4 linked regions of the Notamacropus eugenii genome follow. The protein of the gene in region 4 interacts with the protein of the main gene of each other region in a pairwise test. Links are inferred from orthologs where the notes say so. Each region holds a gene or a part of one and is shown on either strand. Other genes may lie near its edges. The genes, in order: CFL1, PIM1, PDGFRA and EGFR.

What was found.
Region 1: the proteins of EGFR (region 4) and CFL1 interact in binary tests that used the Homo sapiens proteins (3 or more experiments, as listed by UniProt). The link is inferred for Notamacropus eugenii from reciprocal best matches to the Homo sapiens genes EGFR and CFL1.
Region 2: the proteins of EGFR (region 4) and PIM1 interact in a protein complementation assay, tested with the Homo sapiens proteins (3 studies listed by BioGRID and IntAct, with this or other methods). The link is inferred for Notamacropus eugenii from reciprocal best matches to the Homo sapiens genes EGFR and PIM1.
Region 3: the proteins of EGFR (region 4) and PDGFRA interact in binary tests that used the Homo sapiens proteins (3 or more experiments, as listed by UniProt). The link is inferred for Notamacropus eugenii from reciprocal best matches to the Homo sapiens genes EGFR and PDGFRA.

Annotation. Positions count from the first base shown.
Region 1 is NC_092873.1:18,552,591-18,560,324, reverse strand, and holds CFL1 (cofilin-1), read left to right. Parts: upstream 1-4,720; 5' UTR 4,721-4,954; coding exon 4,955-4,957; intron 4,958-5,413; exon of another isoform or gene 5,414-5,523; intron 5,524-6,056; coding exon 6,057-6,364; intron 6,365-6,456; coding exon 6,457-6,533; intron 6,534-6,741; coding exon 6,742-6,854; 3' UTR 6,855-7,315; downstream 7,316-7,734. Other genes in the region: crossover junction endonuclease MUS81, read right to left, coding at 1-117, 212-300, 679-747, 879-977, 1,904-1,983, 2,490-2,622, 2,811-2,948.
Region 2 is NC_092873.1:94,838,046-94,846,370, reverse strand, and holds the start of PIM1 (serine/threonine-protein kinase pim-1), read right to left. Parts: upstream 3,322-8,325; coding exon 3,240-3,321; intron 2,986-3,239; coding exon 2,879-2,985; intron 2,719-2,878; coding exon 2,668-2,718; intron 2,576-2,667; coding exon 2,209-2,575; intron 1-2,208. UniProt on the Homo sapiens protein: Proto-oncogene with serine/threonine kinase activity involved in cell survival and cell proliferation and thus providing a selective advantage in tumorigenesis.
Region 3 is NC_092877.1:105,671,130-105,678,382, forward strand, and holds the start of PDGFRA (platelet-derived growth factor receptor alpha), read left to right. Parts: upstream 1-3,993; 5' UTR 3,994-4,188; intron 4,189-4,229; exon of another isoform or gene 4,230-5,463; intron 5,464-7,018; exon of another isoform or gene 7,019-7,229; intron 7,230-7,253. UniProt on the Homo sapiens protein: Tyrosine-protein kinase that acts as a cell-surface receptor for PDGFA, PDGFB and PDGFC and plays an essential role in the regulation of embryonic development, cell proliferation, survival and chemotaxis.
Region 4 is NC_092874.1:420,224,008-420,232,073, reverse strand, and holds the start of EGFR (epidermal growth factor receptor), read right to left. Parts: upstream 3,256-8,066; 5' UTR 2,950-3,255; coding exon 2,862-2,949; intron 1-2,861. UniProt on the Homo sapiens protein: Receptor tyrosine kinase binding ligands of the EGF family and activating several signaling cascades to convert extracellular cues into appropriate cellular responses.

The sequences.
Region 1 (7,734 bases), on a different chromosome or scaffold from region 4:
GCCTCCCTCCCAGGGGATTGGCTGGATCTCGGCTGTAGGCTGGCAAATGGTTCTCCCAGACCTTCGGCTTCTGCCAGCTTCTGGGACAGCTCCAGCCCCTCCGGGGTCAGCGAGTACCTGAGGAAGGCAGGAGAGCCAAGGGAGGATGTGGTCCCTGGCGCCCCAGGTCTGAGCCCTCTCAGGGTTCCAGCACCAGAGCCCTGGGCCTCACCTGGCTGGCTGCTGGCTCTTCTGGATGAGATTTCTGTGAAGGAGAGAACGCAGGGATGGCCAGGGCTGGGTGCTGCTGCTGAGGGCCACCTGACCAGACAGGGAGGCAGAGGCAGATAACGGTCACCTGACCAGTAAGAGGCAGAGGCAGATAAGGGTCATCTCCCATGGTCCCGTGAGGAGGCCCCAGGGCTGGAGTCAGAGGACCCCATATGTATCCCACTTGAGCAGGGGGAGCTTTATGAAAGTTCTTTCTTCTCTCTCAGATTCAGTCTCTCCCTCCTATAAACTGAGGAGCTGGATTAGACTATGTCTAAGGACTGGCCCTTCGCCTTACACTCTGCTCCACAGCAAAGTCACTGAGTGGCTAACTTCTCATGAGCCCCAAAGGAAAAGGCCAAGGCAGGGCTGTGGACAGCAAGCCTCCCTTCTGGCCTCTTGGGGACCCCTGCCATCCCCGGCTCTTACCCTGGGTGCTTCCTGCTCACACCTCCTCAGAAGCTCCTCCTTGGTCAGGAACCCTGGGCTTTTGGGATCCTCAAAAAAGAGGCAGAGGGTCAGTGTCCCCCAGGGCCATCCCTGTCCCCAACCCTACCTGGTCTCATTGAACTGCCTCCAGGCTGTGTCCCTGTCCTCTCCCCACCCTCCCACTCCCATCCCAGGCTTACCAGCTGCTCCCTGTAGAGAATCAGCAGCAAAGCCCGGGCAGCTGAGTGTCGGGGTGGCCTGTAGCTGCTGCGGCCACCAGCCTTGGGCTGGCCTGGGCCCTACATCAGGCAGAGGAGAGGTGCTCCTGAGTCCAACAGCTTCCCAGACCCAGAGCAGGGTGATGGTTTCCTTGTCCACCCCTCCTCAATTCTCCTGCCTGGAGACTGCCTTCCCCTCCCCAAAGGGGAGGCTCATCCCTCAGATGGCCTCAGAAGCCTTTGCTGGCACCAAGCTGGCATTCTCCAAGGCTCCATCCTAGGCTTTCATCTCTCCACCCACTCTCGGTGACCTCCTCACAGTTCAGTTATCGTTATTGTAATCTGTCCACGTGACCTTCAGTGTTTCTCCTAAGCTCCTGCCATCACCCCTGGGGGCATCTTTATAGGCTGGCCACCTTTCCCTGCCTAGATACCACCAGGCATCCAGTCCTGTCAATCATCCACCCATCTCTGACATGCAGAGCTCCTCTTCACACACACCTGGAGCCCCTCCTCACTGCTGCCCTGGATGACTATCTCTCAGGCCCCAGCCTCTGCCCACTGCCAACCAGCCTCCACACAACTAGCTTCCCACACATCTCCATCCTAGGTCTTGGTTAAAATGCCAGAGCTCGGGTGCCACTGTGGGACCCAGCTCCCATTCCCTCTCTGGTGTCTTTGGTATCTCAACATGACAGGCGCACCCAGCATTCATTCCTCCCTCTCCCTCCTTAGGATCTTAGCTTCTTTCAAAGCTCAGTTGGGGGGGGGACCTGAAAAAGGAAAGGATTCCTGACCCCCCCCAAGCTGTTCCCTCCCTCTTGCCCCTTGGTGCTGGCTGCCTCCAGACCACTGCCCTAGGCAGATTCTCAGCTCCTCCACGGGTCGATGGGGTTGGACACCCCACCCCCAGGCTGGACATGTTAAATGGCTGCTCTGAGCTCCCCTTTCTTCCAGAGATTTCCCATCCCCCCCAACCCTGTGAGCCTTAGGGGGTCCCTTCTCACCGACTGAGAAGGGACTGCATCCTCTGGGGGTGTGCTGAACCCCACCTGGGGAAGTTCAGAGACCCGCAGCTCGCCTAGACCTGAGGAAACAACCACAGCATCAGAACAGGGGCAGCTTAGAACAAAAATGTCAGGGCCGGGGGGGGGGGGGGGGGGGCTGAGAACGGGGGATGTCAGGGCCGGGGGGGCTGAGAACGGGGGATGTCAGGGCCGGGGGGGGGGGCTGAGAACGGGGGATGTCAGGGCCGGGGGGGCCTGAGAACGGGGGATGTCAGGGCCGGGGGGGGGGCTGAGAACGGGGGATGTCAGGGCCGGGGGGGGGGGCTGAGAACGGGGGATGTCAGGGCCGGGGGGGCTGAGAACGGGGGATGTCAGGGCCGGGGGGGGCCTGAGAACAGGGGATATCGAGGCTTTGAGGGGCCTGAGAACAAGAGTGGCAGGGCTTAGGTTCATTGCTACCCCTGGATCCCAAGGAGCGAAGGGCCAGGGTGTCAGAGCGGCAGGCCAGCCCCGCCCCTCGTCTCGCCCCCTAGCTTGGTGCCCGGCCAGGCAGATCCAGGCTGGGTGTCAGACAGGCCCCCCTCACCCCGGCCGGCCTCCTGGTGCTGCTCCAGCCTCTGGTCCAGCATCCGGCACAGCGCATCCCCAAAGTGCCGCAGGATCTTGGCTTCCTTCCCGCTCCTCAGGGGCAGGGGGTAGCGCAGCAGGGAGCGCAGGGCCTGGAGGTGCAGGGGCGCTGGTGTGGCGGGTCAGCCCCCAGGGCCCTGGCCCCGCCCACCTCCAGGGCCTTCCAGACCCCGCCCACCCCTCCAGTCCCCGCCCACCTCCCGCCCCTTCCAGGCCCCTCCCCACTCCCTTCCAGGCTCCTACCTCACCGGGCACACCCCACCCCCACCCTCCGGCCCACCTTCTGATAGACGAAGCGCGTCCGCAAGCCCCGGCCGGCCGCCTCGTCCCGCCACTCGCGGAGCCAGCGCACGAAAAGCGGGTTGGCGCAGGCGGGCAGCGGCCGCTTCCGGCCCAGGCGGGGCGCGGGCGCGGCCATAGCTCAGCTCTGACTCGAGTTAGAACGGCCGGCGCTCCGGGTGGGGGGCGGGGCCTCGCTCTCCTCCCCGCGCGCCACGTGACCCGAGCCCCCGCCCCGGCTCTCAGGCTTCCCGAAGGTGGAAGGTGTGGACATCACCCCCCCCCCCCCCGCCCACGAATGGTTACTTCTGAGTGCTGAGCTTCTCACACAGCTCCCCCCGCGGCTGTCAGCATTTGGGCTCTCCCTACCATAGCACCCAGGAACCGAGGTCCCACCCCTTCCGCATTCTAGCAGAAGGAGAAAGGAAGGGATAAACGAGTGCTGCGCGGATGGGGAAACGGGAACAGCGCCCCCTGTGGTCGGGAGGGCGAAAGAAAACCGCTCTCACCTTGGCTCTCTTGCAGGATCGGCCTCGGCGCCTGCAGGGAGGATGGGAGCCTCCAGAGGGCGTGCGGAAGGGTCTGAACCTAGAGAAGCGAAGGGCACTGGAGCTGGGGCATAAAGCCCAGAGAATTCACAAAGGGGACTGGAGCCCGGGAGATCTGCACGGGGGTGGGGGCGGGGAGGAAAGAATACATCCCCAATGATGTGCAAAGGCGACTGGTGGGGGGGAATCTGCAAGAAAAGGACTGGGCTACAGACTGGGGGATGTCCAGAGGGGGCTCCGTAGAGCCCGGGTTATGTTCAAGGGGTCCGGCTCGAGCCCTGGACGTTTGCAGCGGGTGCTCTCCGGACAGAGCCCGGGGGATGGGCAGAGGAGAAGAGAGCTAGAGAATTCACAAAGGGAGCGTGCGAGGAGGCTGGACGGGTCTCCGACTTCGCGCTTTGCATTCACTGCAGCGGCCAGGGGCAGGCACAGAGGTCACCGACCGCCCGGCTGCTGCCCAGCCAGGGATTTCCCGGGCGCTCGCCAGCCCTGGGCCTGCCCTCCCGCAGTTTCCATATAAGGCTCAGTTTCCATATAAGGAGCGGTGCACGGGCGCTCTGCCTGGCTCCGCCCCATCCCGGCTCATGCCCTAATAAGGCGATCTGGGGCATCCCAGAGCTGCAGGCGAGGGGGGGGCTGGTCTCCAGGGCGACCGCGAAGCCCGCGCCCCCTCCCCTCCCACGGAAAGCGACGGGGCGCGGGGAGAGGTACGAGAAGATGGGTGCCACCTTGCCTTGGCTCCGGGCGGATCTCACCGCCTTGGCTTTGGGCCTCAGTTATGCCATCTGTGAAATGGGGGGCTCTGCAGGCTCGGTTCCTAGTGCCGAAAATCTCAGCCATTCACATCTCCGAGGGAATGCCATGGGGGCGCAAATCCCCTGCTCCTCCCCCCGCACTCCCCACCCTCGGTGACCCAGTCATGAGTGGTGTACCCCCTCCCCTCGGTCTCCTGGTTGGTCGTGTTTGCGGAGGCAAGCACAGATGAGCCTATGGGCACCGAAAGAGGCTGCACGTCAAAGCCCAGTTTTTTTAGTCAGCGGCTTCCTGCCTCAGTTTCTCCGTCTGCCGTACGTGGTGCCCAGCTCCTGACAACGAGAGATAAGAGATGAGCCTCAGTTTTCCTCTCTGTACAATGGGGACTAGAACTGGGGACCCTTGGGCAGCTGTGACGTTGGGAATGGGATCCAAGGGCCCAGAGCCCCGGCCTCTCGCCCCGGGCGCCCGAGCCGACGTCGCGGAGCAGCGGAGGCGGGACACCAACCCAAGGTGGAGCGCTCCTGGCCCCGCCCCTCTCCGCAGGGGGCCGAACGCCCGAACTCCCCGGGCAGTCTAGCATGGCTGGGGAGACTCCACTTCCCGGCGTGCCCTGGGGCGGCGCAGCGCCTCCGAACTTCATTTCCCATCGGCCCCGTCTCCAGAGCGCCGGAAGCTCGCCCCGCCTCTCATTGTGCGGCTCCTACTAAACGGAAGGGGCCGGGAGAGGCCGCGTTCAGTCGGCTCCAGGCAGCGGCGGCGAAGGAGCGACGCCCTCCTCTCCTGTGGCCCTCGTTTCCTCCCTCACCCTCCCTCCCTCACTCGCTCGCTCCTTTCCGGAACCATGGTGAGCGCGGGCCAGAGAGCTCCGAGGGGGCCCGGCGCCCGACAGCGGGGGTGGTGGAGGCGGTGCAGCGGGCGGGGCGGTGTCCTCATCCTCCTCTCCATCCTCCCCTCCGTCCTCCCCATCCCTTCCCCTCCCCCTCCTGGGGCGCCGCGGGCGAGACTGGCGGCTGGCGGAGGGGCTCGCGCGCCGGGCGGGTGGCCGGGCGGGCGCGCGCGCGCCCCGACGCCCCCCCCCGCGCGTGCTCGTCTGACGTTGACGGTTGTTGGGTGCAGCGGGCGCGCGCGCGACCCTCCTCCTCCCAACCGTTATGTAGTGTTGGGGGGGGTTAGGGGCGCGCGCGGCCCCCGTACCCGGGGGCGTCGCGCATGCGCGCACCTCCAAGGGCTGAAGCAAAACGAGGGGCAGTTGGGGAGGGGGAGGAAGGGAAAGAGAGGGGGCGCGCGCTCAGCCCAGAGCACGCGGCTCCGCAGCTGGAGGAGGGCGGGGTGTCGGGCCCTGCGTGATGCCTTGGGGGCGGCCTGGCCCTTTCCGGCGAGGATGATCCGCCGCTGCCCACCCCAGGCCGGGTGGGGGGGCACTCCGAGGCTAATGCCCAATTTGGGGAAGTGGGTCCGGAAGGCCTGGGCCGGACCCCTCCCCCCTTCCTGAGGGGGTGCCGAGCTTGTCTTCCTGGGGCGGGCTCTTTCCCCTCCCCCTCAGGAAGCGGCGCCGATCTCGGCTGCTTCCTCGGGGCCTTTTTGGTGTCGTGGTAGGGGGAAGCGCCAGAGCAGGACCCCCGTCCTGGAACTGGGGGCCCGGGAGGCTCTGTCCCCGGTTGTGGGGGCAGGGGGGCTCCAGAGCCCTCATCTGCGGCCCTTAGGCAGGAGCTGCCCCTGAGCTAGAGGGGAGGCGTGGCCGGAGCTGGGCCGGGGGCTCCGGGGGCTCGGGGCGGCCGAGAGTCAGAAGGTCAGAGTTGAGGTCCTGCCTTCTGACGCTGGTCAGCGTGGGCTCTGCGGCGTTTAGTCAGACGAGGAGTAGAGCGCCTCTGCCGGGAGCGTGCCCCGCAAAGGCCCGGCAAGCCTCCGAGCACCTGCTGACTTGTTCCCCTCCGTGCCCACAGGCCTCTGGCGTGGCTGTCTCGGACGGGGTGATCAAGGTGTTCAACGACATGAAAGTTCGCAAGTCCTCCACCCCCGAGGAGGTGAAGAAACGCAAGAAGGCCGTGCTGTTCTGCCTGAGCGAGGATAAGAAGAACATCGTGCTGGAGGAGGGCAAGGAGATCCTGGTGGGTGACGTGGGGCAGACTGTGGATGACCCCTACACCACCTTTGTCAAGATGCTACCGGACAAGGACTGCCGCTATGCCCTCTACGATGCTACCTACGAGACCAAGGAGAGCAAGAAGGAGGACCTGGTGTTCATCTTCTGGTGAGTCTGAGGGCGGTGGGCCCCTCAAGGCCAGGCTTGCCCAGAGGCACGCACTGGGAATTTTGGGCACTGACTGTTTTCTCTCCTGCCAGGGCCCCTGAGTGTGCCCCCCTCAAGAGCAAAATGATCTATGCGAGCTCCAAGGACGCCATCAAGAAGAAACTGACAGGTGTGTGTGTGCGGGCGCGTGTGTGAGAGATGGCATTCCCAATAGCGTAACCCTCTTTGGTGCTCAAGGCCGAATTTCGTTGGGTCTGAAGAACTGGGTGAGAAGCCTGACTGGCTGTGGTGGGACCTTGGAAGCTCAAGGCTGGGTTTTTATCTGTAAAGTGAGGGCACTTTGGCTCTGACTCGCCCATTTCCATTCCTTCTCACAGGAATCAAACACGAATTACAAGCCAACTGTTATGAGGAAGTGAAGGACCGCTGTACCCTGGCTGAGAAACTGGGGGGCAATGCCGTGATTTCCCTGGAGGGGAAGCCCTTGTGAGTCTCCCACGTCTGGCCCTCCTGCTGGGGCTGCCCAAGCCCAGTGGGGGAGCAGGCTGCCCCCTTCCTGCCAGACCCAAGGGCTGGGGGGATCCTAGCAGGGGCAGGGCAATCCCTTCACCCCTTTGCCAAACCACCCCCTGGCCTTCCCAAACCGCCTTTGATATTCTCATTCCTCCTGAGTTGTAGCAGACCAAGGTCCCCCCGATGCCCAGATGGGGGGGAGGCCAGTATTTTTTTTTAACTGACACCCCCAGTTTTCCCCCTTCCCCGGTGCTGCCAACTTCTAACCGTAATAGTGGCTTTGTGCTTGTTGTTTAGTTTGGTGTGTAAATGGAATGTTGTGGAGATCCCTTCCCCCACACAGCCGGCTCCCCTCCCCCCCTCCCCCAGTTACTCATGTGGCCAGTAAAAGGAAAGTTCAATTAAAAAAAAGACAAATAAAGAAAAGGTGAGCTGCTCTGCAGGTAGTTGTTTTCTGGGCTGGGCAGGAGGGATTTGGGGATGGTAAAGTATGGCAGGTTCCCTTTACCATCTCTCCCGAGTTCTGACGGAATTGTTGCCTGGGCCTGGGGCTTTGATCGGTGCCTTCTGGCTGGAAGACAGCCGTCTTCTCTGGATCTTCCCTACAGTTTGACCTAAGGTGGGCCCTTCCCAAGCCTTCTGATCTCTGGGCTATTGGTTTTATGAGTCTCTTTTCCCTGGAGTTGGGCCCAGGAGGAACTCTGCCAGATGAGCCTGTTACTGGGAAGGGGCTTCTCACTCTGTGGAGGAGCTAGCTTCCCGTGAAGCCAGCCTCAAGGGAGCACACAACATGCTGGGTCCAAAGCAGGCAGCTTTATTTCCATTAGTGAAGGAAAGACTCCGCTGGCTTGCTGGGT
Region 2 (8,325 bases), on a different chromosome or scaffold from region 4:
ATGGGAGATTAGTAGGGGAAAACATGCTATTTTTCTAACCAAAGAGAAAAAAAAATGGTATACAGTTTTCTAACCCAAGTATTTCATACTGCGAGTGCTAAGTGTTTGTTAAGGATTAATAAGGGAATAGTAGGTGGCTCATGATATTTCCTGGATGTCTAACAATAAACTTAAGTTCTGTAAAAATTTGCTTCAAGAAATAGGACTTTTTTTTTTTTTGGTAAAGAAGATAGACACCAAACACAAACAGATCACCAAATTTATATGCTAGAATATATAGGGAATAGAGTTTGAATCCCAACTTTTTTCCTTTTGGGGGTACAGAACCTATTATGACAGAAACACTTATTATGAACAATTAATAATTTCCAAGAGACAACCTGGACTACCACTTGGAATATCTATGACTTGACTTCTTAAGTATAACTGCTACCTTTTGCTTGTCTTCTCAATGGGTGGGAGAGGAGGAAAAAATGCAGGACTCAAAATTTTTAAAAAAATGCTAAAAATAAACAATTAAAAAAGCTATCACTGCTTTTAGGTTCCTTTCTTCTTTGGCACCATATCCAGAACTGAAAACATTAAGCTTATGTTTAAATATAAGAATTTAAAACTTTCAAGTAATCTAGAATGTGATTTCAGATTTCAATAATTTAAAAAAACTTTTAAAATATCCTTGTGCTGAAGCAGATGTACAAATAAAAGCTCCATTTTACAGACAGGGAAACTGATGCTCAGAAAGCATCTGACCACATTCGGAGAACTGGTAAATGAGGGATTCTTCTGAGTCTCACGTTTCCTCTTTGGTAAAAAAGGAGATTTGGACTAGATCTCTTAAGCCCATTTTTCAAATCTAAATGCCAAGGTCGAACCTGCCCCCCCACCTTTCAGGAGACCACCCATAATAAAAATCAGAGTAGGTCTTAAGGAAATCTGACATACTTACAACCAACTATTCTTAAAAGTAAATTCAAATGTTGCCAACACTTGACTCTCATCCAAATTGGTACACTTCCATGACATCAGAAATTGGGCTCCCATGCCCTAGTAAATGCTATTATGCCCAGAGCATGTGCTTAGCCCAAGCCCACGCCCTCTTCTCCTGGCCACCACCTCCTCTTCCCCAGGCAGGAAGAGTAGGCTGAGGTCAGAGCAGTAGGGCTGGTTTCTAGGCCACGTGATTCCTGTTTACAAACTTTGGGTTGTAAAAAAAAAAAAGGCACACCCCTGCTTCTCGCTCACCAGGGGGCAGCAGAGGCCTGGAAAGGTGGGAGGGTCCTGCCAGCCATTAACTGTGAAATACAAAAAATGCAGCCCAGGCCCAGCATCTTCCAAGGGCAAATAAACACAAACCGCAAGCCCGAGTCACAGGTTTTGAAAGTCAGCAGTTTGCTCGCCTCAACCTCTCAGATCATTCCCCACCCCTCCTATTCTTTGATGTCAAGTGCAGGGAAGCTCCCACATTCCTCCCTGCTGCAGAAAGGACCAGCCCCAAACCCCTCCCCTTACCCTAATGCCTCTGTTTGGCACCGGGCGAGGGGAGAGTGGTGAGATCAAGCGGGAGGGGGTGGGGGCAGAATGAACTCATTTTAAAATCTACAGATCTTATTTCACAACATTCATCCCTGAACTGAAAAACAAAAACAAACCACTACCACCTTTACCAGCAGAATGAATAATTTAGTGAAAAGACAAGAGAACAGTTTCTCCTTCCTGACTGACTCAGCTAGTTCAAAAGAAAAATAAACCGAGACCACCCACAAGAAACTACCAGCAAATTCCCTTTCCAAAGCCCTTTCTCCCTCCCCTCATCACTCTGTCCTCAACACCCCCTCAGTGCTCGGGAAAGTGGGTCAGGATTTTAAAATCTGGGCTATGACAAGTCAGGTTTGGTGGAAGCCGGTCTCCCCGTGAACTAAGCGGGCAGGTTAGGAGGGGAACGCCACAACTCAGGTTCTCGATACAGACAGCAGAAGCTCGCTCCTTTCTGAGCCTATCAAAGCCCTAAAGGCTAGGTCGGGGGTCTCCTCTAAGCGCACAGCACAACTTCCAAGGTCTGCTGTCTCCCGCCCCACCCTCTGGAAGCGGCCCCGCTTCTTCCAGCCAGGCAAGATGACCTTTGGAAAAAGGTCGGCGAAGAAGGCCCCTGAGGAGGGGGACAGTTGTAGGTCAGGGCAGCACCTGCCTTTTCCCGGGGTCTCCACTCACCGTCAAAGTCGGTGTAGACGGTGTCCTTGAGCAGCGCCCCGGACCCGAAGTCAATCAGCTTGAGCTCCCCCCGGTTGAGGTCGATGAGAATGTTTTCGTCCTTGATGTCTCGGTGCAGCACCCCACAACTGTGGCAGTGTCTGACAGCCTCCAGCACCTGCCAGAAGAAGCTCCGGGCCAGCTCCTCCTGCAGGGCTCCCCTCTCCGTGATGAAGTCGAAGAGGTCCTGGACCGGCTCCGGGCGCTCCAGCACCAGGATGAAGCTGTCGGGCCTCTCGAACCAGTCCAGAAGTCGGATGACCCCCGGGAACCCCGAACTCACTTTCTTCAACAGGAGAATTTCCATGGGCACTCGGCTGCCATTGGGCTGCGGACAAGAGTCACGGGGGTCAGGAGACACGCGGGGACACAGCCAGGCTCACGCCCCCACCCCCAAAGACACGGGTCCCAGGCACTTACCAGCTCCCCCCAGTCCGAGATCCTGTCCCGGTCCACGTGCTTGATAGCAACCTGCAAAGCCCCCAAGGGGAAGGTCGGAGGTTAGCGCCGAGCCCCCTCCCCAGGCCCGCCCCCGCACAGCTCTCCCTCCGCCTCCCCCTCCACTCCGAGCCGGACCCGGGGCCAGGCGGAGTCGAGGGAGGGCTCCCCGGCGTTTTCGGAGCCCGCTTACCGGCGCGCCATCTGCCAGCCGGGTGCCCGAGTAGACCGACCCAAAGCCACCGCTGCCCAGCAGCGGGCCCACCTGGTACTGCTTCTCCAGGGGCTCCTTTTCTTTCCCTACGGAGGAAAAAGCCCCGTCAGGGACTGTTGGAAGCGGCCCCCTGCCCATCCCGGCACCCCCCCGTCAGTGCCCGCATCTCCTTTCCTCCCGGGACGCCCCTTCCCCAAGCGTCCTCGTCCTCGCCGGCTCTGCCCTGCCGGCGGGCACCCTGCCCCGGCTCCCCGCCCCTGACCCCGCCGTCCTCCCTGCCCCGTAGGTCCGGTGCGGTCCGGTGCGGGTCCCCGCCCTCCACCCCGGGGTGGGTCCTCACCGGGAGGCAGCTTGGCCGGGTGCAGCTCCACGCAGGGCCCGGAGCACAGGTGGGCCAGGGAGTTGATCTTGGACAGCAGCATCCCAGGGTACAGGGGTGACAGGGCGATGGGGCGGACGCCGCTGGGGCCGGGCGGAGCGTGGGGGGGCAGGCGGGGATTGGGGTGGGGGCGCTGCCGGGGCGGCTTGGCGGGATCAGTGTGCCGCAGCGGAGCCCGCGGCGCTGCGGTGCCGAGCTCGCCGCTGCAGAAGCCGGCCCGTCGCTGCTGCCGCCGCCGCTGCCTCCGCCGCCGCCGCCGCTGCCGCTGCTGCTGCTGCTGCTGCGGCTGGTGCTGCGGCTGCTCGGGCTGGGGCTGCTCGGGCTGGGGCTGCTCGGGCTGCCGCTGCTGCTGCCGCCGCCTCTGCCCCGGGAGCCGCCGCCGCCGTCCCTGCTGTTTCTTAGACTTCTTCCGCCGCCGCCACCGCCACCGCCACCGCCGCCGCTTCTGCCGCCGCCGCCGCAGACGCCCGGCTCGCCCGGCAGCCAGGAGTAAAGGGGGCGTAGCGCGCGGGAGCGGGGGGGCGGGGGGCGGGCGCGCGAGCGGACGGGCGGGGCCTCTCCGGGAGGCTGGGCGGGGCGGTCGGGGGCGGGGCGCCCGGCTGCCGAGTCGCTGGTGGGAAGACAAGGGGGGGTGGAGGGTGGGGAAAGCAGCTGGGAAGGAGAATTCCCCACCGCACGGCCGGCACGACCAAACCCCGCCCCCGCAAGGCCGCCCCCAGCCAACCAGAGCCCAGCGGATCTGCATAAAGCAAATGCCCCGCCCCCAGAGGCCCCCTCCCCCCACCGTCAGAATGGTAGCTACGCCGCCTCGACGTGGCGGGAAGGAAAAGGCGCCAAAATGGAGGGGGAGGGGCGAGAGAAGTGCGGGCTCCGAGAGGAGGAGGCGGGAGCCGGGTGCAGGGCCACGGGGAGGAAGGATGGGGAGGGGCTTATCAATTCAAACCCAAACAATAACAAAAGCCATCAAAGGAAGCTTGGGGTCTGCCCACCTCTCCCTCTCTCTCCCTCTTTCTCCCTCCCTCTCTCTCTCCATCTCCTCCCTCTCTCCCCCACCTTCCCCCCTCTCCCCTCTCTCCTTTCTTTCCCTTTCTCTGTCTCTTCTTCTCCTCTGCCCCGTTCTCTTTCTCTATGCGGTAGAGCCTTGGGGTCAGGCTTGCCGTAGACCAAGTTCGGGGACGATTGGTGGCAGCGGAGGGGGTTGGGTGTGTATGTCGAGCAGGGTGGTCGGGGACGGGGGGTGAGTGTCTTTGTGTGTGTGCGTTTGTGTGTGCGTGACCTCCATGCCCGCTCTGCCTGGCTCAGTGGACGCGGGCTTCGCTCCCGGGGAGCCCGCGGTTGAAGGGCAAGCGCCCATCGGTGCGGGTGAGGGGGTGGAGGGTGGCACTGCAGGGCTGTGAGTCACCAAAGGAATGGGGATGTCTCATAGGTCTTTGGAACAAAAGTGGGCTCCGAACTCTCAAAAACCAAGGGAAGGGTTATTTATCCATCCGGATGATTTCAGCCTTTCTACAAGAGGTGGCATTTAGATACTTTGTACAATTAAAAAGAAGAAAAGAGGGCCAGGGTAGCCGTCATCCCCGCCTCCGCTCCAGACGCGGTTCAGCCCGGGTCCTGCGCAGGGTGCGGTGGCACGGGGACATCCCGCTCCTGCGAGCGGAGTCCCAGCCCATCTGGATCGGAAGCTCCCGGTTTCATTCACAGTTTTCACCTCCCTCCCCCACCCTGGCCACACCCAGCTTTGTTGCTACTATGTTGCTCGTCCCGAGCCTGCTCCGGCCCCACCTTCCTAACCGTGCACTAACTGCTAACAAAGTGCGAAAGGAGCCACTGAATTTTCCCTCCTTCCTTTAAGAGGATGTCTAACCATGAAACACACTGAGTTAAGATGACGGGGGGGAGCGCGGATGAGAACGGAGCACCTCCACCCGGACTCCACAGGTCCGAAACGGAATTCACTAAGCGTGCCACCGCCCCGAAGCATCCCGCAAACTTCTCTACTTCTGCTGAAGGCGTCCGGGTTCCCACCTCGCTCCAGACGTCGTGGACTCACCTCCCTCCCTTTGCTCCCCTCCACCTGGTGCTTTCAGCATCCTTCATTATCACCCAGTCACATCCCTTCTAATTCGTTCCTCAACTTCCAGTCACCCTTCTCCAATCCAGCCTCCATCCTGCTGATCTAAGTTTCCCCATTCCTCTCTTCCAAAGTCTTCCGTAGCTCCCTGCTGCCTCCAGGACAAAATACAAATTCCTCCATCTGGCAGGGATTTTCCAATGAAAGAGCACCTCCAAAATCAGGCTCCCACCTATGATTCTGAATTTATTTCATATTGTTCCCTTTTATTACCTCTGTTAGTATAATCTGCATCTCCTTTGCAGAGGTTGCCCTGCTGGGCTTGGAATGCACTTCTCCCCTTATTTCTTTCTGGAATTCCAGGTTTCCTTCAAAAGTTCAGATCCCATTCCTCTAGTCCATTCTGAAATTTCTTTGTATTTTCATTTGTGGGCACAGGTGTTTTATCCCTTCAGTACTTACGTTAGTAAGCTGCTTGAGGGTAGGAGCTGTTTTGTCTTTGTATGGTCTAAATGCATAGCACTATCACTTTTTCCTTAATTCCTCCTTCACATATCTTGAACATAGTAGGTTTGAAAATAAAACTGTTTAGTGAGCAGGATTTTATTTTAAATACTTCATGCTTAGGTTGCTGCTGCTTGAAAGGAAAAATAGGGAAGTGTCTGAATGACGGACAACCACTGTCAACTGTAACGTTTACATATTTTACTAAAAACCTGGCGCTGTTATTTGCTCATGTTATTTATGTAGCACATTTGTTAGTCAATTTCCTTTCATTTTCTTGTTTGTGTGTTATGGATTAATTAAGAATAACTCACATTTGTATCATTTCCTCAGAACAATCCCTTGACTTAAGTACAAATAGTATCCAACCAAACTCTGAGAGGTTCTCATTTGTCTGTTAGCACTCAGATAGTAAGTGTCTGAAATAGAATTTTAAAATCCAGGTCTTTCGACTCCCAATCCACCACACTGGTGCTGAAATCTAATGTTTGATGTTAAGACAATGAGACATAGTTTGTCCCAACATTCATTGCCTTTGTACATATTATTAAAATGGATGATGAATGAATACACTAAAAGACTAACTGACTCCAAACTCTTTAACTTGGCCCAGCCTTCCAGACAGGCCTTATTTCTCAGGAACCTTGATCTCAGGGCCTATCACTTCAATCTAAATTGGATTTGTTCTATCTCCTAGGATCCTATTATATTCCTAAATATGCTTTGCATTTTTCAACCTCATCGCTTCCTCTATCCTAATCAAGTACTGTTATTGTTGAGTTTTGTCGGGACTTCTCTACCCTGTGGGCCATAACACACCAATACTGTCTATGGAATTTTCTTGACAAAGATCCTGGAGTGGTTTGCTATTTCCCCCGCCAGGGTATTAAGGCAAACGGAGGTTAAGTGACTTGCCCAGGGGCACAGCTAAGTAAGTGTGTCTGAGACCGGATTTGAACTCTGGTCTTTCTGACTCCAGTACCAGTGCTCTATTCACCGAGCAAACTAGCTGCTCCAAACAATTACTCCTTAAAAATTCAGCTCTGAGCTCCTTCATGGAGCCTTCCTAGCCTACTCTACTCTCCTATTGCCTATTCTACATATTTGGTGATAAAATAATAATAAAAAATAAACCTTGTGGCATGTCTTGTACTGTTGTGTTATTTATTGCTGTTTTACTTTTTATCCATTGTCTGCCTAACCTCCAGCATAACCGCCTCAGAGGCAGTATGATTTTGATATTAAGTGCACTGCTCTTCAAATGATAAAGATTTGAGTTCTCACTGTATTTTGCCAAGTGTGCGACCGTAAACTTTGTAAATTATAAAGATTATATAAACATGAGCCATTTGTCCTTGCGTATATAGCTACATTTTATTGTTATTTTACATTTTCAATAGCATATAAGCACAATACCTTGAAGGCAGTAGGCTCTTAGTAAATATTCCTTGATTGAGAGTAGCCTGGAGCACTGAGGTTTAGGGCTTCATCCAGGTTTACAGCCAGCCTGTATCAAAGCTGAGCTTGAAGCTAAGATTTTTAGACCCTTTAAAAGCCCTGCTCACTAAAGCTGCCTATTTTCATTGAAAGGAGAAAGTGAAGCTTTACAGGATGACTTTTAAGAGAAATCTTAGGATCAATATTAAACCTTGTTGCAGTGTTGTGTGTATTATGCAGATCCTACTGTCTGAGTAAGCCCTTTTGCATGAGTCTTTACCAGCTTCATGATCAATTACTCTCTAACTCCTTTCAACTTCCTGAGCTGCAGTTTCCCCAGCATCAAAAATGGAGTACTAACTGTGCTTGTAGGAGAGGCATCATAGAGTAGTACGTAGAGAGCCAGCCTTGAAGCCTAGAAGACCTCCCTTAGCTCAAGTGACTCCTCTGACACATGGTGGCTGTTTGACCTTAGACATGTCACTCTCAGTTTTCCTCTTAGACTCCAAGTTTCAGTAAAGGTGTTCATCTACTTTGGAAGATGGAGATTCCTTCTTGAGAGTTTTCTATGTCAACGAAATCACAAACCTTAGTCCTGACCCTAATACCTGTACCTTCGTTGTTTTCAGGTGTGTCCCACTTAGCGAAGATGATAGAGTGGTTTGCTATTTCCTTCTTCAGTTCATTTTACAGATGAGGAAACTGAGGCAAACGTGGTTAAGTGACTTGCCCAGAGGTCACATAGCTAGTAAATGTCTGAGGCCAGATTTAAACTCAGGAAAATGAGTTCCTTCCTGAGTCCAGGCCCAGCACTCTATCTACTGTGCAACTTGTCTACCTCAATACCTGCACTACCTATGAAATAATGGGGTTTTTGTTGTTGTTGTTTTTCTGTGGGGAAAGTACTATCTGTGGTGCCTTATAGAGATGTGAGCCGTCTTTCTAAAAGTGGTCCAAATTTTGTTGCACTATTTTCACACTTTAGTTTAAATATGTCCTATGAGAATGATTCAAAATAGCTAATACATATAAAAT
Region 3 (7,253 bases), on a different chromosome or scaffold from region 4:
CTTGCATCTCGTGGGGAACACCTTTGACCCCTCACTAGCCTCAAGGCAGTCTTTACTGAAACACATCCTCCTTCTCTCTCTCTAGAGGACAGGCTTCAAGTGCAGGGTGGCCCAAGGCAACTCGAAGCCTTTGGAGCCTCGGGCTCCGAGGGCCTGACGGCCTGAGGCAGAGGCGGATCCCTTCTGCACCCCCTCCTCCCGGCCTCAATTCTCTTCCCCAGAGCTGAGAACAGCACATCTGTGCGCCACATCCCCACACCCTCCGAAGAGTTTTCCCAGGAAAAGATTCCCCTCCCCACCCCCAACTCGCCTCCACCATCCCAGCCCTGCAGGGAAGCGACTCTGTTGGGCTGCGTGCAGAAGGGGCTCTGTGTGTTGTTTAGTTGGGAGTGGGAGATGGGGGAAGGGGAAGAGGGCTGCAGTGACATTTCGTTTGTAATCTCACCAAATGGTTTTTGGTTTTCGAAACCTGAACCAACAAAGGAAAAGTGTTCTCCCCACGGTTCCCTTCTCTCCACCTCCATCCCAACCCCCAGCACACCAGCCCAGCTGAGCTTTTAAATTATTGTCATTTGTTCGGATGATTCCGTAAGTATTGCCCATGCTTTCTCTGTGCCAAGAAACTGCGTGGACGTCACAGATGAAGTTCCTTTTGGTGGGACTGGGGGTGAGCAGAAGGGAAGGAATGAAAGAAAGGAAAAAAGAAGGGGAGGGGAAACCTCAAACAGCCATCTCTCAGTCAAAACTGAGAAGTTCTGAGCAGTGGAGAGCTCTGGTTTTAATTCTTTGTTGTAATACCAAACCTGGACTCCAGCAGCTTAAAGGAATGACGAATGAACGACTTTGGTGTAATCTCTCTCTCTCTCTCTCTCTCTCTCTCTCTCTCTCTCTCTCTCTCTCTCTCTCTCTCTCTCTCTGCCTCCCTCTTTTCTTTTTCATCTCTCTCTCTATGCCTCTCTCTCTCTGCCTGTCTCGCTGTCTCTGTCTCTCTCTCCCACTTTCCATATACTTATTTGCTTCCTCACTTCACCGACGGCTGAAACGTCTGAATCTCAGGCTAGCAGCGTTCTGAACTCTTGCACCCTCCTGGAGCAACCAGGACATCCATAGACTTTACCAGACCTCAAGTCTCAGTTGAAAAACCTCATTCTTAACCCCTTATCCCATACCCCTCCCTCTCAAAAAAAAAAATAGTAAGAAAAAAAGCTAATACGGGCGGGGGTTGGGACCTTCACACGGCGCAACGCCTTAAAAAGGGCAATAGGAATGGGGATCGGGCCCGAGCGGGTCATTCCTCCTAAGGGCACATATGGTGAGTGCGTGGCACCTCCTATGTTTTCTATCAGTCAGATACCCAGATAAGAAACAAATAAACAGTAGTCTGACTTAGAGGCAGAGGCTTCTCTCCCTATTCCCCGGCTCGCAGACCACACAGGACAACCAAGTACGTCGAGGGAGCAATCTTGTAGCATCTTAGAACAACACCAGGGAAAGGTCCATCCTAGCCCTTTCCAGCCCACAGAGAGCCAACCAAGCTGATTGACAGGCGTAGAGCGAGGTCGTCCCTGAAATCTAATACAGGGACCGCAGGGGTCGGGAGAAATTGAAGCCAAGGATCCCAAGCTGTGGAAATGGCTGTCTTTCTGGCAGGCCTCGTTGCAGGCTCTTGCAGGGAGCCTAAATGCAAGGTCTTGGTGGGTTTGTTTTATTTTACTTTTGGACGGGAGGGAGGCGCATCATTGGCTTCTCCCCATTTCCTCTCCTTCTGGTCTCTGAGAGTGGCTCTCTTGGAAACAACAGCCTTTCTTCCATTTGCTTTCTCCCTTTCCTCCTTACCCCCTACCTTAGCTCTATGACCAGTCAACCTCAGCTCGCTTCAACCTTCTGAGAATGTCACACATGGAAACCTTTAGCAAATGTTTGTTAATGATCATAACAAAGACAGCATTCAAATTAGGCAGGTAATTACAAACAGAAGGACAATTGGGTGCTGGCTTGCTCATCTATTTTCTTTTTCTTTAAAGTGAGGTTACCGCCGGACACTCCCGCCTGAGTCTCCATGTAGGCGAATAAAGCCAGGGCTCCATAAAGCGACTCTGAAATGAACTGTGAAGTTACCATTTGTGGGCGGGCAACATTGGGGCCCTCAACTAGAGAGGAAGGCGCGACTGGATGCCTGTTTAGCTGAAGCAAAGCAGAGCCTGGAACCCTGATTTATTGTGTTCTCGTTCCTTTTTCCCCATTTTCAACGTTGTTTTTAGAAAAGGTACAAATAGCACCACCTACCATTGTGGATTTTTTTTTCATGATCTCCCTTCTTTTGGGGGATGGAGTAGAGAGGGTCGAGAGTCTCTTTGGTTCTTTGTCTACAAGCATTACGGTATCCTGTTAGCATTTCGAACAAGGGACTGTTCATCTATTTGCCTCCAATGATTTCCTGAAGGAACATGTGGAAGCAATAGTGGGGTTGTGCAGTCACCCAAGCTGAAGATGCATTAGAGGAGAATATGCAGAAAGGACTCGAGGCAGCAGGGACTCTCAGGCTCAGCCCTAGGGTCTCCCTCCTCTCAATTCTGTGGGATCACTCCACCGAACCCCTTAAGGTTTGCACGCCAAGCTGAACTTCGCACATCAGCCCCCCCAATTTTTTTAGGGGGTGCAAGCTGGAGTTAGTTTTCTATTCCCCTTCTCCCTACACTTCAGCTGGGAGCTGGGGGCAAGGGAATGCTTGGACTGGGGAGATGACATAACCATGTTTCTTTATGAGACTTCTCTCTAAAAACTCTGCCTGAAAAGACGGAGTGGTAACATTATTCGAAATACATTCGTGACACCTTTCCCTCTCCCAGCGCACGAGCACACACACACACACTCTCTCTCTCTCTCTCTCTCTCTCTCTCTCTCTCTCTCTCTCTCTCTCTCTCTCTCTCTCTCTCTCTCTCTCTCTCTCCCTCCCCCCACCCCCCCCCCGTGTCGAGAGAGGGAGGACTGTTTTCTGGAGCGGCAGCGCCCCCTGGCTCACAGAAGCAGGATCACACACACCACTTGAAGGAACCTCGTGCGGAGCTCGCTTCCTAGAGAAGCTTGCATGCAGATGGCCCTCAGTTTTCCTCCCTTGCTCCTGAGGTGGAGAAATAGAGGACTAGGAAAAATGCCCTCCTCCCGATCTGTTCTTGCAGAAGGGAGCGCTGGAGGAGGGGGCAAAGGGCTCCATCCCCCAATGCCCATTTTAAAAAGGATCTCCCACATGCTTCATTCATCTCAGCCTTCGCAGAAGCCTGCACCAATCTTCCAGATTCCAGATTCCCCTCAAAGACAAAGCACGGAAAGATACGTGATTTTAAAAAGTTAAAGATCCTACATCAGCTCTCCATTCTTTATGTTCTCATCAGACCTATCAGGCTGCTCTTGGAAACAGCCATCAGCAGCAGATCGCACCAAAAACATCGTCTACATTACCTGTTCTCCTAAAGACTCAGGGTCAAAATGACCCAGTGACTATGTGCGATCTACGAGGGACCCCATCTTTGCCACACCTTCCTCGCCCCCTGGCCAGAATCTAGCGAGCCCCACTAAATATTATTCCTAAATGTAATTTGTTTACTCTGGAGGCTGTATCCACAAATCAACATTTTTTTAAAAAAAAATTACCCCAAACATGCAGCAGAGAAAAGTTCCATTAAGTGTGCAGAGTTCATTCATGAAACTGTGAGCAGTTTGTATTTTAATGAAACTTTTCCCCCTGCAGCGCAAGACTATCAAAATACATCCCCCACACCCTGCACCCCATATGGCCAACTCGTCCCTCCCCACCCCCAGTTGTTGATAAAGACTGGAGACTGGAGGTGGACCCCCTGCCTAAGTAAAAGAAGACAGGGAACACCCAAAGCTGTAGGCAGAGCGTCTCCAAACTCCGAATATGAGAGTCAGACTCTTATTTTGAAGAGGGTTGGAGGGGGCTTCATTCCTGACAGCTATTTACTTAGAGCAAATGATTAGTTTTAGGATAGACTTTAACATTGAATCTATTACAAAACGCGGGTTTTGAGCGCATTACAGTTTCAACTAAGAGAGAAAGAAACAGGAGGAGGAAACAGTTATAGGAGATAGGCATATATATATAATTATATCTAAATATATTTTTTACTGTGCATGGTTTTCATTGCGGATTAACGTAGAGGAGAGAAGGTAAGGGAGGACAAATTTTTGAATTTTCGACTTTGTTTTCCTTTCGGGGGAAGTTAGGTCCTGAGGCTGGAAGAAATATGGTAATTTCACAAACTTTGACGATGGGGAAAAAATGCTGGAGCTGATCTCTGCATTCAGAGAGTAATTTATCCTAAGTAAACCTGGAAAAGTTGGGAAGCAAAATTACTTGAAAAGAAGAGAGAGACTGAGGACTTTTAAAAAATTAGTATTTTTCTAGCCTCCTTTCTAGGGCCCCCTCCCCCTTAAAAACTTGAAATTATTTAAACATCATTTTGAGATAGGAAGAGGGCATTATTTAAGAAGGCACTGAAGCGCTTTAATCTGGTATTTCGCTTTTTTTTTCTTTTGTGGGGGCGGATTGAGAAGGAATATAGGTCTTTTGCCCTGCTCCTGGTGACCGTTCCTGGGAGATGGCATGTTTTTAATGAGTATTTTCAGTTCTCTCGGGGGTTTAGCTGATCGAGGCTGCCCGCTCTGTCGAGGGAGGTCCAGACTAGTTTTGGGACAATTTGGAGAAGGGAGGTAGATTTGTGAGAAGAGAGTTCCAGAGGGAGTAGTGTGACTGGGTGAGAAAGGCTTTGCTGGAGGTATCCTGGGACCTTGGATATACGGACTGGTTGGAGAACTGGGGACGCCAGGGGTGCGTTCGTAATTACTGGACGGCGTTCTACTCTGCAACAAGGACTCAGACCCAGGGGAACCGCGGCGGCTGAGAGGCGCTCTCCGGGGTTATTTGCGTAGGGCTGGGAGGGGGTGTGTCGAGGTTTTGGGGGGGGGGCACTCTGCTGCCCGTTAGCCAGGGACTCCTAAGGCGTCAAGGAAAAAAGTCGCAGCTCTGCAGTGATAGAGGGCTCTCTACTTCGAGAAATGGTTGGATGGATGATGGATCTGGTCTGGAAGAGGCGGCGGCATTGGCTGGCTGTCTGACTGGCGGGGGGAAGGAGTTCTGGCATTAATGACAAACACATTTGGAAGAGAGAGCAGAAGCCGTCGTCGCACCGCATTCCAGAAACCTGGGATTTGAGGAATTTCGAGCTGGGATCAGGCTCCTTTCCAGGAGTCATTATTATTATCGTGAGCGTATTTAAAAAAAAAAAATTATTCTGGAGTATTGCCGTTCTCTTGGATTCTCTGGCAAACCACGGCAACAGGAAGGAAAGTAGGAAAATCGCCAGAAAAGTGCCGGATAATTTCTCCAAGCAACACATGTGGGGAGTTTAGGGGAGGACTAAGCTGAGAAACTTTTTGCGCAAGGTAAGAGATGGACTGTGGGGCGGGCCCCTGTCTGTGGTCTCCACAGCCTCTTAAAAAAAACTACAGCCACCTAACGGGGTCCCCATCTCCAACCCGTTGGTCCAGGGCCCCTGGCCTTGGCCCCTGCGCGCGTCTCTTCTAAAACTTGTGGCATTGCCTGCCCTGGTGTCCCTGGCCTAGCCTCGCTCTTTTCTTCTCCCTGCTCGCCGCCGTCTGTTCCTAGTCTCCCCAGAGTCCGTCTTTTGGCCTCTTTGCCCGCCGCGCTTCCTTTTCCCCCCATCGTCTATCCCCATGTAAATCGGGTTTTACACGTGAGATTAACTTCTCTTCCGAGCGCCAGGGCGCGGGCACTGCAGTCGGAAACAATTGACCTCGGCTGTTCTTTTTGAGAGGCTCGAAGGCAGCCGAGGGAGAGGGGCAGATTCTATTGCCTGGTGGCTGCCCTGACTGAGGTGGCCAAGTTTCTGGGGCCGTCTGGCTCTGGTCTCCGGGAGCCTCTTCTCTGGGCTTGTCTACGTGACCCCCTCTTCCGAGTTGCTCATTCCCTCTGTTTTGGGGAACTGAGAATTCACCGAAGCACCGCTAAGGAGATCCTGTCACATCCCGATTCTGGGGTGTAGGGGAAAAGGCGGAGGGCAGAAGGGAGTGGGAGTCAGCATTACGACCCTTCTCTTTTGGACGGCGCCCCTTCTACTGAGATGGGTTCCCTTGGAAAAGTCTCGCGGCAGGGAGGCCTGGGAAATGGGGTTTTGGGCTCGTCAGCCAGTGGATTGCTCAACTTTTTTGGAACGAATAGCCTTGGGACCATGATCACTCCATGATAAAATTGGACAGCAATTTGGACTGAGTGGAAAGGGATACAAGGTATAATGGAGAGACTCCAGTCCATAGGCTTCAGCTACACAACACAAGCCCCTCCCTGCCCCTAAGGGAAGGAGCAACAGAGTGGGGGGTAGGGGAGAGGATAGAGTGAAGGGGGAGGTTCTGGGATGACCACAAACATCAGTTGCCTCAGTTTTCTCTCTCAGCAACTGAATGCCTTAGACTGAGACATCTCAAATGCCAGATTCCCACAAGCCTCTCTCTTCTCCACCCGCTGTCCCACATTCAAATGCAGCCTTCTTCCAGATAACCACTGGAATATTCTTTTTCTTTCCTCATTGCTTTCAAAAATCGAGGTTGCCTAACCTCCACTTTGCCTCTCTGTCCAGACCCAGCTTCCTGCTGGCTCTTGGTTCTTAAAATGTAATTTAAATTTGAGACTGAGAATAGTGAAGGGAAGAGGGAAAAAGTGTGAAAGCCTGAGGCCCCCCCCTTCTAAATTTCGAAGGACAAGAATCGGTTTCTTTGCTGAGCAGATAAAAACTCTGGACTCCCCCCACTGAACGCCCAAACCACAGCAGCTCTGAGATGCGTCCAGCTGTGGGACCTGAGGTAGGGAGGGGAAGGGAGGAGGAAGCAACAGTTTCTAGTTTGGGAACGCCACTGGCGCCGAATGGGGTGGAGAAGTGCGCCCCCTGGGCCTCGTCGACTAGTAGGGCCCTGGGAGCCTGGAGTCCTTGAGTAAAAAGAACACTCCTTGTTGTCCTATCTGTTTGTGATGAGAAAGTCACGAGTTTTGTGGAAAGAAAATTTAGCAACCCAGCGTGAGCTTGGCGCTAGCCTGGCTGTGGCACAGGAGGCATCAGCTGTAGGAGGATCGAAGGCGGGCACAGTCAGGGTCTCGCAAGCTTTCTTCTCCTCCCCATCCCCCCGCTCCCCCAGAGGTGGGTGTGGGTCGTCGAGTGTTT
Region 4 (8,066 bases):
TAGAGGCAACAATATGTGAAAGGGTTTGCTTTGTGCCATGACACAAATCAATACTCATCCTCTAATTTAGCCCCTGAGCTGCCTCCTTGAAAGGAGATCATTTTGGATAGAAGAGGGTGGGAAGAGAAAGAATGGAAAGAACTTGGGGGACAAATCTAGGACTTGTGACAAGGAGAGGTTTGCCTTGACTTTCAAAAGAGGGTGCTCATCTGCTTCAGCTCATTTCCCTTTCTAGTCTTGTGTTATCTGTGCAAGGTCGAAAGGTTGAAGTCACACATACCTGTCATTATTCTTTTAAATGCACAAATATTTCTGCTTTCAAGATCTAAACAAATTTCTTTTAAATATTCTCATTGACATTGATTAGACTTTGTTGATTAAAGGCATAGATGAATTTAAGTGCACCTGATCATAACTAATACTCTTTCTAAAATAGGCTCACTCAAACCTAAAGAATTTGTACTGAGAAATTAACCATTCCCTTTTACTATCCTATGTGCACATTCATTTTCTTAGAGTTTGGTTCTTTTTATCCCCACATTAAAAGGCATTCTACTTTAAATGGATACAAAAAGAGAACAAATTATATTTTCTCAGAAACAGCTGAAGCATTTTAAAGTATAGAATACTAGAAAGTTTTCAGACATAGATATTCAAAAGTCAACCATTAAAGTATTGTGAAAAATATTTTATCAGAAAGATGATGCCTTCAAGTAAAAGAACAGTAAAATTACAATTGGTCCTAGAAAGGTACAAGGTATTATTCTTGTACCTGAGAGAAAAAAAGAATTTTTTTCCTGAAACTATGAATCTTAAATGTGAGGGAAAGTGGATTAATATAGCATTAGTTTTGAAAATAAGAGGGGGTGGGGAAGACATTTTACATTTGTCAAAATATCCAAATCTGTGATGATAAATCTGAGGGCTACTCACTAAATGAAAAAACAACAGCTCTGATCTTTCAACACTGACCACTCACTCCCCAGTATAGGACGAGAATATTCACCCTCTCACCTATATTTTGCAAGTTTGATAAAATAAACTGTCTCAAAACATCTTTATCCGTAGAAGGGCAAACATAGTCAAGAAGTTTATGTAACTCCCCCACAAAAAAAAAAAAAACCAAACCCACAACAAACCCCCAGCACAGACACACACACACACACACACACACACACACACACACACACACCCCAACACCCTGTGCCAATGACATCAACAACAGGTCGGAACCTGACTCTTGGAACACGAGTTCCTTAATTTTAAGATTGTGCAATTAGAATCTTCTAAGGCATGTTTCTTGTTCCAAGGGAGCTTATTGACAGTAGTCACGAAATCAGATTCTCTCATGCTTGGTTCAGAGAGAATGGTGGACCTTTACCAGTTTCTTTCAACCGGTGTGTGGTTTGATTATCTACTCCCCACCCCATTCCCGAGAGGAGAAAGAGTATGGAGTGTTCATTTGGAAAGTTACTCCCCAAACGATTTGCACTGGAATCTTTATAAGGGATTACTGTCATCAGATGGTTTTGAGGATTCTATAATCTAATATCTCATTCTCCAAAGAAACCCTAGAGAAACCATCCACGATTCCAGAATTGCCCCCTAGAAGTTTAACAAAGTATTTTAAGAAGCATGTAAGAACGTGAAGCGACTCAGGAGTGGGGAATAAGTAAGAGAGGGAGGGTAGTAGGGAGGAAACCAAAGGTGAGTGTAGGGAGCGACCCGGCTGCACAGTTGAATCCTACACAGACCTGCGCACCTTGTAGAGCAGGGAAGGATCAAGCACAGGCCGACAGTCACTGGAGTGGGAAAGGGAGGAGAGGGAGAGGGAGAGGGAGAGGGGGAGAGCGAGAGGAGGGAGGGAGACACAGACAAACAGACGCACAGAGCTACAGTTAAAAAGAAGCAAGTCCAAATCCTGCAGTGTTATGAGGGTGACGGAAGGCGGAGAACCTGAGAGTAAAGAATGGGAATGGGGCTGAGGGCTCTTTTCCCTATTGGTTTAGTGTGTTTGGAGGAGGGTTCCGTCTACTCCCACCACCCACAGATCCCACCCCGGACTGCTGACAATCCAGGCTACAGAAAGAGAGTAATGAAATGTGAACGAGGGAGCCGGTCCAGAGGACTGGACAGGTGACAGACACCCTTAGTAGCACTTAACCGGTGGGACTTCTCTCTAGCCTGGCATCTCATGCCCTCTTGTTTACCTGTCCTGGGAAGTATGAGGGCTGTGAGGGGGGAGTGGAGGTGGGGTGGGGGGCACATGGGACCCTGTCCCTTTATCCCCGCTGCACAGTGTCATCCCCAGAGTGCGGCCAATGCCAAGGCGCCCTCACCCCCAGAACTCTACTACCTCGATCCCCGCCTCCCCGCCTCCAGCCGCCCCCCACCCCTTCCCGGCTAGTCTACGGCGCGGGCCAAGGAGACGAAAGCCGGCTGAGAAAGTTTCCTGTGCAAACGCAGATGGAGCTCGCGCAGCCAGATTGAGGGCGCGCCCGGGAACTAGTGACTCTGGACACCAGGTTTCCATTCGGGAGCTCAGTTCCCCGGCCAGAGATCCCTCAGTACCCCCTTCTCTCTGGGCCAGACAGGATTGTCAGGACAGCCCCTCCAGGCTCAGCTCCCACCGGGGTGCTGGCCAGAGCTCACAGCTGATCTCGCAGGAAACGGGGGAGGGGAGGGGAGCGCCGGCCGACTGGGACTAGCGAGCCGGAGGGAGACCGGCAGCCGGCTAGCAAGGGCTGAGGCTGGGGCGGGGTGTGGAAAGAGGACAGGCAAGCTGGCGGCAGGGAGACCAGGTGAGGGCGAAGGCCAGGCAGGGGACGCGGAGAGGCGGGAGGCCAAGGCGACACCTTTACCTTTCTTTTCCTCCAGCGCCGTGCCTAGGGAAAAGTGTCCGGCAAGCAGCACCAGGACAGCGGCTCCAGCAGCCCCAGAGAGCCCCATCGCCGCACCGGATCGACGTCGGTCCCAGTTCGATGGTCCCAAAGTAATCTCACGAGCCAACAACCCCTTTTCCCCGCCCGGGGGCCAAGGGAAGGCGGAATGTCGTTGAGGGTAGATTTCTGCCAAGTGCAGAATCAATCCCAAGGAGGCCGGGGCGTTTGCTTCTTGCTTTTCCTCCTTTGGCGTCGGAAAGCTTCCCTTGAGCCTTCTCTGCCCCGGACTCGGGCTGCCCGACAAGGCTGGCTTAGCAGACCATGCCGGGAAGGCGCTCTGCTTCTACTGCTGCCGCCGCAGCGCCCGGAGGGGAGGTGGAGAGGGGGGAGGAGAGGGAGGAGGAGAAAGAGGCGGTGCGGCCGCTGCCCCTTAGCCTGCCTGTGTGTGTGTGTGTGTGTGTGTGTGTGTGTGTGTGTGTGTGTGTGTGTGTGTGTGTGTGTGTGTGTGTGTGTGTGTGTGTGTGTGCCTGTGTGCGTGCGCGTGTGTGCCTGTGTGTGTGCCTATGTGTGTGTGCGTGTGCGCGAGCTGGAGCTCCTACCGCGCTAGGCACCGGAGGTGGGGTAGGGGTCTAGACAGGCTGTCAACTCCGAGTCCTTGAGCACACACTTGTGAGTGTGGGCTCCGTTTTTTTCCCTTCTCCTTTGGGACAGAGGTGGGGGAGAGGCGGAGAAAGAAGCGCTGAGGGTGTTTCCTCAACCCTGACCTAGGCTGAGAGTGGTTCCGACCCACAGCTGATTCTTGCACTCTCTCCTCTCCTTCCTTTCCCTTCCCAGTTCTCAGAAAAAACAAAACATAAAAAACAAAAGAAAAAAACTTTCCCCCAACTTCGCGAGTTTCTCCCTAGAGAATCCCCATCAAACAAACTGAGCTACGTCACAGGGACCGAGAGGAGGCTGCCCCTCTTAGTAGGGTCACCACCACCCGGTGGAGAGGGATAGAGCCAAGCAGGGGACAGTGGGAGGATTTCAGGGCGACAGTGAACTGGGCCGGAAGGGCAGAAGGGTGGTCAGCGCAAAACCAGAATCTGTGAGCGCTGTCCGCCCAAGAGAAGGCTGGACTCAGAGCTTGCCTAAGTGTGTGATTCAGAGTTTTCGGAAGTTTGGCCAGGTAACGACGTACTCTGCCTCTGTGGGCATCTCCCACAAAGGAGAGAAAGGACAGAGCTGCTTTTCTTTTTTCCATAGCCTTTCTTCACCCTCGAGGGTGGAGGTGAGGGAGAGGTTCACTTCATGAGGCAAACGTTCCCCCAGACCCATTAACTTTTCAAAAAACAAAACCAAACAAAACTTGGTCAGTTCCTAATATTTCTCATCACATTTCCCTCCTCTCCCTTTTAGGGTATGCGGGCTGGGAAATCTTTGCCAGACGACCCCAGAGCTTAAAAGTCTAATGTTTAGGTGGAAATCAAATGGCGAATATTAGTGGAAGGATAGCCGGATTTTAAATTCCAAGTCAGAAGTAAGAAGACCCGGAGTTTTATAAAGTTGGTAACTGAATGTTACAAAATGTCTGAAGCTAAGGAGGTGATTTTGGGAAATCACAGCAAGGGGTGAAAAAACATTAAGCAAAAAAAGATAGATAAGGAGACTGTGCGTTGTTCTTCAGTGACCATTAGTCAATTATTTACGTAACGTTCTTCCTCCATATTCTCATTATGTATCTGTGTATGGATGTATGTATGTGTATAAAAGTGGAAAATCACAAATTATTTTGTTAAGGAAATAGGAATCCTTCCGCATGTCACCATGGAAAGAAGATTAAAGTGTTCTAGAGTGATTCCCCTCTTTTACTTTTTATACACTGATTTATTATCTGCTAAAGAATTAACGTCATGTAGCCCTTTTGCCTCAGTTTATCGTGAAGATTTTACCAAGCTTCCTCTAACCTCTTCCCCCATCTTTCAAAGTTCACAAATAGTTCCCAAGTGTGTATTAACTACTAACATCCCAGTAAAACAGATTTTGCAAGTTCAAAATTAGGAGACAAAGAAGGAGTAAAACAAAAAGTATTCATTGTAGCAAAAAGCAGTGCCTTTTATTTCTGTGTTCTCCAAGGCCTGGGCATTTGTAAACCTCCCCCCAAAGCCCACTGATGCCCCATTGCTCCCCCCCTCCTCCCCCCCCACACAGGTTTGTGTTTGGCTTTCAGCAACCTTAATCATCTTGTTGCTCCCATGATGGTAAAGTGCATAGAACCTGGAATTAGTCCCATAGCTCAGGAAGTAGACTATGGTAGTGCAGAAACTATGAATGATAGTTATTTCCCCTTTTTAAAATTTCACCCTTAGAAAGAAACTGTGGTGAATGGCAGAGAGCGTCCTGGGGTAGGGTGGGGGAAACTTGATTAAAGGCTAATTGACCAATTATTTACTAGTAAGATTATTTAATAGAAAGATTGCTTCTATAAAGTTAATATGAAACTAATTATAAAAGGAATAAACTCAGCCTTTAGCTGTCTAATTACAATTGATTTTTGAGATGGTAGTATTAAAAAAAAATCAGATTCCCTCCCACATCCATATCCTTTCTTCACTGAAAAGGTCACCACTCTATTCTAGGCCACCAACACTTCTCACCCAGACTATAGCAATAACCTCCTAATTGTTTTCCCTGCCATCTCTTTCCTCTCCAAACCATCCTCCATACAACTGTGAATATAATTAAAAGAATTAATGGGGAAAAAGGGGAATTAATGCTGGAAGTAACCTTAGACACAATCTAGTCAAATTCCCTTATTTTACAGGTGCGGAAACTCTGGTTAAGTAATTTACTCATTGTCACAGAGATTTGTGACATTTGAACCATGTTCTTTGACTCCAAAGCCCCTACATCTTCCCTTACACCACATTCTCTTTTCTTTTTTTGATCACATTCCCTTTTCCTAAGGTAGAGGTCTGACCATTCCCTTATTTAAAAACCTTTTCTGACTCCCTACTGCCTCTTAAAAAATGGCATTTAAGATTTTCTTCAATCTAGTTCTCACCTACCTTTTCAACCTTATTTCACCGTATTTCCTTTCACCTACTCTATTCTGGCCAGATTGGATGACTAGTCATTGCCCAACTTAATATTCTCTCTTTGATTCCCATACATTCAAACAAATCATGTACAATGCCTATAATGCCTTCTCATTGCAGAAGAGGTTCAACTTAAATGGTACCTGCCCTTTGAAGTCCTTCCTGGTCCTTCCCTTTCCATCAAATTACCCTCTCTTTTTCTTATGCACACATTGTATTCCCCCTGTAGCATATAAGAATATTGGTGTCCATAGCACATACAATCAATGCTTTGAGCACAGAAGCTTTAAAAATGTTGACGTGAATTTGTTGAAATTACCTAGAGCTTCCATTTTTTTATAGGCTCATTGGATCATAACAACATAGAAAAGATGTCTGAGGCCATCTAGTCCAAATCCTTCATTTTACACATGAGGAAATTGAGGCCAGGAGAGGTTATATGGTTAGCCTGAGGTTACATGGGTAGTGACTATCAGACTACACCCATGCCCAAATTCAGCAATCTCTCCCCAAGATATTCAGTTTGCACCAAGCCTCCCCACACTTTGCTTACTAAGACCTGGCTTGGGGTTGTTTGCTTTGATCTGGAAGAAACTTTAGAGAGGATTTTGTTTAATTCCTTCACTTTCTAAAGATAGGGATCAGAAAACCAAAGAAGGGATTTGACTTGTCCTTAGCATGGTATCTGGCTTCAGACTTTTCAGATTCCAGCTCTTTATACTAAGGATTATAGACAAAGTTGAGGAATCTCTATCAGCTGAAGGGGAATGAGGGAAGATTTTATGGCAAAGGTGGTACCTAAGATGAAACCAGAAGGAAGAGAAGGAATGAGGAGAAAGGGGTGTGTTCTAGATGTGAGTAAATGCCTGAGTCAATGCACTGAGTGCAGGATGGTCTAGATCAGGAAACTGCTGATAGCCCAAAGTGTGTGAATGCTAACAAGGTGAGATAAGATGGGAAAGGTAGGTAGAATGTACAAGGCCTTAAATGCTGGGCTGGGGAGTTTGCAATTATGCACATTGCAGTCTTGTGTTGTTTCTTTGTGGGGAACTGCACTCTCCTTGTATTAAAGACACTGTAGTATATTAAGATGGTATCACAAAGGAACATGTAATTTGTGATTGTGCTGACGCACTTTCATGCATGAAATAATTCTCATAAGAACAATCAGGTCTTGCCATAGCCATCTGCATTAGCTTAAGGTTGGTGAAGCAGTTCAATGTGATCATAACTTTTCAAGGCTTACTCAACACTCCGAAATACTTCCCCAGAAATGTTGAGTAAAAAAAAATTATGTTGAATCTTGCCTAGGAAAAAAATAAACAGTTTTCGCCAAAGTTATAGAATCCAACCCAACCAGTATTTATTGAGTGCCTACTACATGCAAGATGCTGGACTGGTCACTGAGCCCCCCCAAGACAAAACAGCCCACAAAAAGTCAGCTGGTGACCTTCAGCAGCTGAAATTCTATAAGGGTCACAATATGTAAATAGCTGAAACTTGAGTGTTCCAAGATGGAGCAGTGGATAGAGCATCTGGCCCAGAGCCAGGAAGTCAGGAAGACTCATCTTTGTTCAAAAATTCTGGCCTCAGACACTTACTACCTGTAGGATCTTCACTTTCACCCTTGTTTACCTCAGTTCCTCATCTGTAAAATGAGATGGAGAAGGAAATGGCAAGCCACTCCAGTGTCTTTGCCAAGAAAACCCCGAATGTGGTCATGAGGAGTTGGACATGACTGAAATATCTTAACAAGAGCTTCAAAAGCCTTTGATAGTTTAAGACTGTACTAAGACTTTTGGGATACTGTGTACGTATATATGATAACTGGATAAGGAAGGAATGAGCACTGACAGCTAAGGAGATCAGGAAAGGTTTGCAGGAAGAAAATGTCCATGAGCTGAAACTCAATAGAAGCTAGGAGTTTCCCAGGACCGAGATTTCTTACCCTTCATTCTCTTTTTGTCTCAAGCAATTCAACCCCTGTGACTCACCCTTGTGATAGATAACCCTATCTTCCCCTCACTTCCAGCTCACATTTGCTTTTGAATAAATGACTTCTGAGGATGAAAAACAAATGCTTATCGTTGCAGAGTCCAAATAATTA